Linked DNA regions of Mus musculus. The protein of the gene in region 1 binds, or shares a complex with, the protein of each later gene. Links are inferred from orthologs where the notes say so. Each region holds a gene or a part of one and is shown on either strand. Other genes may lie near its edges. The genes, in order: Zc3hav1 and Khnyn.

The links.
Region 2: the proteins of Zc3hav1 (region 1) and Khnyn are in contact, whole or in part, in a crystal structure (PDB 9BGL), measured with the Homo sapiens proteins. The link is inferred for Mus musculus from reciprocal best matches to the Homo sapiens genes ZC3HAV1 and KHNYN. Residues at the interface, in NP_064504.2 of Homo sapiens: Glu5, Val6, Cys8, Phe9, Lys12, Ile13, Ala16, His17, Glu29, Ile30, Ala31, Leu32, Leu113, Glu115, Phe118, Ser127, Gly128, Leu129, Asn130, Glu133; in NP_001277186.1 of Homo sapiens: His651, Lys652, Asp654, Phe655, Gln658, Arg659, Pro661, Tyr662, Asn677, Phe678.

What each region holds. Positions count from the first base shown.
Region 1 is NC_000072.6:38,309,583-38,313,386, reverse strand, and holds part of Zc3hav1 (zinc finger CCCH-type antiviral protein 1), read left to right. Parts: intron 1-902; coding exon 903-993; intron 994-1,666; coding exon 1,667-1,797; intron 1,798-2,075; coding exon 2,076-2,209; coding exon of another isoform or gene 2,210-2,328; exon of another isoform or gene 2,329-2,890; intron 2,891-3,804.
Region 2 is NC_000080.6:55,883,720-55,887,989, forward strand, and holds the start of Khnyn (protein KHNYN), read left to right. Parts: upstream 1-1,222; 5' UTR 1,223-1,423; intron 1,424-2,054; 5' UTR 2,055-2,071; coding exon 2,072-2,272; intron 2,273-2,772; coding exon 2,773-3,899; intron 3,900-3,994; coding exon 3,995-4,125; intron 4,126-4,201; coding exon 4,202-4,270. Other genes in the region: Cbln3 (cerebellin-3 precursor), read right to left, coding at 193-468.

The DNA.
Region 1 (3,804 bases):
GTCTTCAAACTCATATTTATGCCTCGTTCTGCCTCCTGAGTGCTAGGATTAAAGGTATGTGCCTTCACATCTGACTACCCTCTATTTTTAAAATGCAATTTTTAAAATAAAGGGTAAGAAAAAAATAGGTATTTTGATCAATCAAAATATACGCCATCATATTCCAGTGAGACCATTTTATGGGTGGCTTCTGTTGGCTGGTTAGTAGATTTTGAGGACTTGTCAGGTCCAGGCTGGGTTTTTGGTCCAGGCTGGGTTTTTGGTCGGGATGCTATGCTCTGGTTAGTTACCCTGTTTACTGACGTTAAGGGATGGCTGTGGGTATTTCAGTCTTCCAGCTGATCTCTCACCCTGAAATCTTTGCTTACCTGTCTATCATTTGGCAAAGAAGTTACAAGACACACAGGCTCCCCCTGACAACCTATACCTTTGAAGGTTGAGCAGATACGTCAAAAAGAATTGGTGCCTTTAGTTTTATCTACTATCTATCCATCCATCCATCCATCCATTCATTTACTCAGTGCGTGTGTGTATAGGTGTGTGCACCCCACACACAGGAGGTCGTCAAGAACAAACTCTAAAGAGTCAGTTCTTTCCTACAACCTGAAAGGATCTAGCAATGAGACTCGCCATTAGGCCTTCATGCAGGCATCTGTACGTCCTGAGCTATCTCGCCGTTCCGTGCTTTTACAGTGTAAAGAAGTGGGAGAGAGAGTGTTTACATTACTAAATTCCCCCTTTTTAAAACCTGTGGTTGCTGGAACCAGGAATTTTCAGGGGTAGTTCAGAGGATATACAGAAGTCAACACCACATTTCCCAGAAAAGCCCTGACTTTCTGGCTGTGTGTTGAGGGTACAAAGAAAGGGAACCGAGTAAATTTTCCTTCTGTCTTTCTTTGTAGCCATCAGCCAGTGATGCCCCAGGCAGATGCTCTGACCCTGTTTTCTTCTCCCCAGAGGAATGCTAGCACTGTTTCTTCTAACGAATATGAGGTAACTGGCTTTGCTTGTTTGGTGGGTGAATCCTTTAAAGGTAGGAAAATGCTTTACAGTAAGCATATGGATTTGTTAACAGAATGAGTGAGTTGCTTCTTCAAACCCTAGCTCCAGAGTCAAAGGCAAGGTGCCTGGGTATAACCAGGATGCTTTCTCAGAGAACAACTGTTCTATAGGGCATCTCAGTGTCTCCAGAGATGCAATGTCATTCAGGCAGATTCTCACAGCCATCCTGTGAGACCATAACTGATAAAGAAAGCAGGATTCTGAGAGCAACAGTAGCCCAGCTTCCTGTGTCCCACGCTGTCACCATCCCGGTGGAGACAGGACTGTTCCTAGTCTGGTTTAGCCTTTACATCTGGCTCCAGCTTTTGTGAAGGCCAATCTGCATGTGTTCCGTAGGCATCTCTGATCTCTCTGTCACTGGTTGGTTTTGGAATTTGAACAATTAACTTCCTGGGTCTCTTGGACTAAGTGGTACACCACAAAGGTTGGCCTGAACAGACAGGTGTATGTGCCTGTTGGTTCATTACCAGATATGGGCATGCTAAGCCAGCCCTGCCCTCCTGAGAACAGCAGTGGTTGACAGGGCACGGGCGGGCACATGTGATGATTAGCATGCTCTCAGTGTTTCCTAGGTAACATAGAAACATCTTTTTTTCCCCTTAAGTTTATAGAGCTCAATAACCAGGATGAGGAGTATGCCAAAATAAGTGAACAGTTTAAAGCATCCATGAAACAATTCAAGATTGTGACGATAAAGAGGATATGGAACCAGAAGCTCTGGGACACTTTTGAGAGGTGACATAATCAGACCTTGTTTGGAGGGTCATGTTATTCGAGTAGATCAAGAGGGGCGTATTCATTTTATTATTTTATTTGTGCATTTATTTATTTGACACTAGGGTGCGGGGCATGCACATCACAAGAAAACTTGCTGGAGGCTGTTGTTCTCCACCCCCCACCCCCCACCCCGGGCCACATGGGTCCAGGTGACTGAACTCAGCTCTTGTACCCAGTGGCGGCCATCTTGCTGGCCTAGTGTTCCTGGTACTGAATGTCACATTTCTCTTTATCAGAAAGAAGCAAAAGATGAAAAACAAGACTGAGATGTTCCTATTTCACGCGGTGGGCCGGATTCATATGGATTACATCTGTAAGAATAATTTCGAGTGGATCCTACATGGAAACCGGGAGATCAGATATGGAAAAGGTTTGTGCTGGAGGAGAGAGAACTGTGACTCCAGCCATGCGCATGGTTTCCTTGAGATGCCCTTGGCATCACTTGGTAGAACTGCATCTCTGGACTCCAGTGGCCTTCAGAGAAAATAAGCTGAGTTACCTTGTTAGGACAGCTCCATTGTCTTGAGGGTGCTTTGCCTTGGCCCTAGGGCTCCTTGTCTGTTTGTCTTTTTCTCTGGGAACAACTCAAGATCTTCCTATTTGTAAACTGTTCCGTCTGCTGGCTATGTTCTCTGCCATTGCTGTTTACTAGAGATGGCTTTTCCTGATCGCTGTCTGTGGCTGCAGAGCTATTCAAAGTAGCTTTCTAATTAATGCCACTGATGGTTCCAGGGGAGAGTGGGGAGAAGCCCGTTCTCATCTCAGGGCTCTGCCCTCACACAGAATGCTTTTTTTTTTATGAACCCTTCATTCTTTGTGGGTGTTTAAGGAATAAGATATGGTCAGACCTGACAGTGCAGGCTTAGGAGGCCGAGGCAGGAAGATTTATTTAGTCCAAGGCTAGTGTGTACTACAAAGCTAGCTCAAAGCTAGCCACAACAACTTAGTAAGACCAAGTCTTAAAATAGAAAGAAAAAAGGTTGGGGCTATTTCTTAATGGTAGAGGCCTGGTCTAGCCTGAGAGAGGCCCCACAGGTTTAGCTACAGTACCAGAAAGAGAGAAAAATAAAGTATAACGATACAGATGTATAGAAATGTCATGGTCAAACCCAGTACATTGTATGCTGACCTAAAAATTAAATGAACAAGAAGAGGATGAGAAAGATGATGATAATGATACAGCGATTCTGGTGGCTATTGTATGCTGTAGGTCTGGGGCAGTTTAATATAGAAGTTTATAGTAGGGCCCAGACCTAGCACAGTACAAAATAATAATACAAAATAGTTGGGTGTGGTGGTGGGTTTGTTTGTTTGTTTGTTTGTTTTCAGACAAGGTTTCTCTGTGTAGCCTTGGCTGTCCCAGAACTCACTCTGTAATCCAGGCTGGCCTTAAATTCAGAAATCTACCTGCCTCTACTAAATGCTGGAATTAAAGGCATGTGCTGTCACTGTCCAGCTTTGGTGCATGAGTGTAATGCAGTGGCAGGAGACAGGGAAGGGGGCAGAGGCAGGAAGGAGGCAGAGGCAGAGGCAGGAGGCAGGAAGGGGGCAGAGGCAGGAAGGGGGCAGAGGCAGGAAGGGGGCAGAGGCAGGAAGGAGGTAGAGGCAGGAAGGGGGCAGAGGCAGGAGGCAGGAAGGGGGCAGAGGCAGGAAGTGGGGCAGAAGCAGGAGGAGGACAGAGGCAGGGGGATCTCTGAAATTGAGTTTAGCCTGGTTCACAGGGAAAGTTCCAGAAGAGCCAGGCCTACCTATTGAGACCTTGTCCTTCAGTGACTCAGGGACTCTGGATCAATGTGGAGCACAGCTGTAAAGATCAGTCTGGTCAAACTGAGGAGCTGGGAGCATAGAGGAAGGAGTGAGAGCAACGGCTGGATTTGTTTGTGTGTTTGGTTATTTTCCAATTCCTGACCTATTTTCTAAGTCAGCAGAAAGATCCTGGATGGACTAATTTAATTCTCTTGCAAA
Region 2 (4,270 bases), on another chromosome or scaffold:
AAACTATGAGGAAGGGCTACGGTGCTGTGTGTATGAATGAAAGAAGGCCAACCAACGGTCAGTGGCCATCTTAGAGGAAGGTGGTGCAAGAGATGCAGGTAATGGTTTCCTTGGAGTCCGAGGGATGCAAAGGGGCTTGGACAGTAGAGTCCAGGTCCTTGCATGTCTTCCGGACAGAGGCAGAGGGATTACCTGGTCGAAGTAGATGGCACCACTGGTACCGTTGCCGGTTTCTCCTGCTGGTTCATGGTGATGGCTTCGGACTGCAGCAAACGCCACTCGTCCTGGGGGTGCCTCTCCCAGGGCTGCACCCCCAGGTCCTCCTGCAGTAGGTCGGCCTGGCTCACAGACCACCAGGCACTCCCCCTCCAGTAGGACAGGCTCTGACCCTTCTTGAGCCCACCCAGCCTCCAGGGTCAGAAGCACCAGGGCCAAGGACAGCTTGGGTTTGTGCCATTCCGTCCCCATCCTTGCTAGGTGCCTCTGTAACTCACAGATTTTCCTGTCTTCTGTCCCCTTGGCTCTCCCCCCTCTGCTTCAAGGCTTCAGTACTCCTGCCCTGCTCTGCTGTCCTCTGTGAGTCTGGCACCTAGCCCGGGCACTCCCCTCCCTGTATCTTTTTGTGTCCCACAGCTCTGCCTGGCCTTACTACTGCTGTCTCTGCGGATCCCTCCTCCTTGGCAGAGCATGGAGTGACAGCAGTTGGGCCCTGGGAGGGAGAAGAGGAATGGAGAGAGGATATGAGGGCTCTAGCCACACAAGGGTGTGTACACACACACACACACACACACACACACACACGAAACAAAATTTCTTCAATTCCTTTCTCATCTTCTCCTTTTCAGTCTTTCTCCATGGGGTTTTCCTTATTGTGGCAAGGTGTGTGTCCTCATCTCCCCCCCCTTCCCCCCCTACTCCCCCAACTCTATCTACTTGGTGAAAGTGCTTGTGTCAAGGGCAGGATTCTCTTGTGACTCTGGACCAGTCACTTCTCTTGGAACCATCAACTGCAGAACTCCCAAGGACCCCAGGAACTGGAGGCGAACGTGAGAGTTGGCAGGAGGCGTTGGGGGTGGGGTGAGTGTCTGTGACCCGGTAGGCCCCGCAGGGGATGTGGAGGGCGGGTCGCTCGGCAGCAGGACAGCAGGCCGAGCCGGGGAGGAGGAGCGCAGCCCTGCCCCGAGCCCTGGCCAGTGCGGCCCTAGCGGGGGAGGAGCCGAGCTGGCTCCGCCCCGGGCCGGAAAGTGACTCCAAAGCCACAACGCGTTGTTGACGAGAGAAGTCTAGGTTGGGTGAAGGATCCGAGAAGGCCCTCCCAGATTCGGGCTCCCAGCCCCAGGCCCCTGGGGCGCGGGAGAAACGCGGGCCCCTCCTCCCCCGCCGCGGGCACCTAGAGGAGCGGGCGGAACTCGCGGCTTTGGCGGTAGGCGTCCCCCTTCCGGGCGATCGGGAGCTGAAGGCCGTGGCGGGAGGGTGGTCGGGCTGGGGGCGGCCGCCGCAGGCTGTGGGAGGGCGGGCTATGCCCCTGGGCCCCGGGTGGGATGCTTGACAGTGGACAAACGAGGAGGGGGGGCGGGGGCGGGGAGGTGGGAGTGGTTAGTGAAGGAATAAGGCGGATAGGGGAAACCCCCACCCCAGGACTACACTGTTAGAGCCTCTGGCGCGTATTCATTTCCCAAGAGGCCCTCCTCTACTCAAAAAATCCGAGACCTCTCAGCTCTGGGACTCTTTCCTCAAACCACCCACTTCTTGTGACCCTCAAAATGAGCTGGAGGCCCTCTCAACTCGTCCCTTCTCAGGGCGGTGGTCATCAGTTTTCTCTGGCCAGTCGCCCACCCCAGCTAGCCCTGTTTAAGAAGGGCTTACTCTCAGGGAGAGGCCTGTGTATAGATGATTTTCTATATTCTCCACCCGCGAGGTGGACTTGCTATCTCCTGGGGTTGTTTACCAGTTCTGTCACTAGGTGCGACCTGTTGATTGTTGGATGTATGCCATGTGATTAGGATTTGGGTTGAAGGGAGACAGAGACTTTGAGATTGCCTCTGCCCTTCCAGGACTCCAGGTAGAAGCCATGTCTACTTGGGGGTTTGCCTCCCCGACTCCCGACCGCTTTGCGGTGTCTGCGGAGGCCGAGGACAAGGTTCGGGAGCAGCAGACTCGCTTGGAGCGTATCTTCAACGTGGGAATGAGCGTCCTCTCCAAAGACTGCCCAGAGAATCCTCATATCTGGTTGCAGCTTGAGGGCCCCAAGGAGAACGTCTGCAGAGCCAAGGTGAAGTCCTCTTCCTTTTAGGGCTGCTACAAAGCCTTTTAGGACGCTGCCCCTCCCGAGGCCGAGTCGGAGGAGGGACTGGGAAATGCCTCTTGGCAATCTTATTGGCTGCCTCTCTCTTGAGCTTTGAGGAACTCAGCAAACCTTTTTATTTAGAATTTTGGTTTCACTTCTGCTGTGCTGCCTAGGTTCTTCAGGCTTTAGAACCAAATCACTTCATGCTCTTGGAGATAGTAAGGTAATCCCCTCTGTACAGGTGGGCCTTGCCAGGGAATTCCCTGGGGTTGAGAGGGGGCCGGCCACTTTTTCCCCCCTTTGCACCCAAGGCCAATAGGCTCCATCACTTGACAGCCCTCTGGTCTGTTCTTACATTTCCATAGGTCTACAGTGTGAATAGAAACAGTATCTACTTAGATGATGTAATAGCTTGAAGCTCAGGGAGAGCAGTGAATCTGAAAGGGATGGCTTCTAGAAGTTTCCTCTCTGACCTCCCTATCTAGGAATACCTGAAGGGGCTCTGCAGCCCAGAACTACAGAGTGAGATCCACTACCCACCCAGACTGCACTGCATCTTTCTGGGAGCCCACGGTTTCTTCCTTGACTGCCTGGCCTGGAGCACATCTGCCCACCTGGTGCCTCTGCTTCCTGGCTCTCTGATGATCAGTGGCCTAACCGAGGCGTTTGTGATGGCCCAGAGCCGGGTGGAGGAGTTAGTGCAACGGCTGAGCTGGGACCTTCAGCTACAGTCTTGTCCCGGAGCCCCTGACAATGGCGGAGTGCTGAGAGACTTCTCTGCCCTGCTGCAGACTAGGGAGGATGCCTACACAGAGGCCCTGCTGCGGCTGCCCCTGGCCGTGCAGGAGGAGCTCCTAAGCCTGGTGCAGGAGGCATCTAGAGGGCAGGGTCCATCTCGTGAGGTGGGGAGCTCAGGCCTGTTGAGTCCTCAGTTCCAGGGAGTCAGGGCTCCCTTGAATGAAGGCAGGGAATTCGTAGGCACCAGAGTGGCAGGGTCGGGAAAGTCGCCAGCAGTAAGAGGACAAAGTCATACTGTGGAGAAGGAGGAAAGGAAACAGGATGCTGTCAGGGACATGGGTTCAGGGCGGAAGGAGCTGTCTGGGGAAGAGGTCTGGGAGCCTGGAGTGGCTTACAGGTCACAGCTAGCAGGTGGAGGAGCAGAGGAGGTGGCACCCTTGAAGGGAAAGGCCTCGGGGAAACAGGAGGTTCCTCAGCAAAGAGGAGGGTTCAGTGTGCAGGGTGAACCTTCAGGTGCGCATGTGCCCTGTCAGAGGGCAGCTCCAATCCGGGGAGCCTCTCTCCTCCAGCGGCTCCACAATGGGAGCGCCTCACCTCCGAGAGTGCCTAGCCCTCCGCCCGCGCCGGAACCCCCATGGCCCTGTGGAGACCGAGACCGAGATCGAGATCGGGGAGACAGGGGAGACAAGCAGCAGGCTGGAGCTCGAGGCCGAGGGTCTCCGTGGAAGCGAGGCACTCGTGGGGGCAACTTGGTGACTGGCACGCAGCGTTTCCAGGAAGCCTTACAGGATCCTTTCACCCTGTGCCTTGCCAATGTGCCTGGCCAGCCAGATCTCCGTCACATTGTCATTGATGGCAGCAACGTGGCCATGGTGTAAGTAGCTGGTGGGACTGAGTTCTGGAGACAGCCTCTGAGGGGCTTGTGCCGCAGCCTTCTCTGGGTCCTGACGTCGACGCTCTCCGTAACAGGCACGGACTCCAGCATTACTTTTCCAGTCGGGGTATTGCTCTCGCTGTACAGTACTTCTGGGACCGTGGCCACCGTGACATAACCGTCTTTGTGCCTCAGTGGCGCTTCAGTAAAGATTCCAAGGTCAGAGGTAAGTTGGGTCTGGTCATCTGTGTCCTGGTGAGGCTGGGTCCACCTTGAGAACCCTGTTGCACTTTGTTCTACAGAGAGTCACTTCCTGCAGAAGTTGTATTCCCTGAGTCTGCTTTCCCTGACACCCTCACGAGTCATGGATG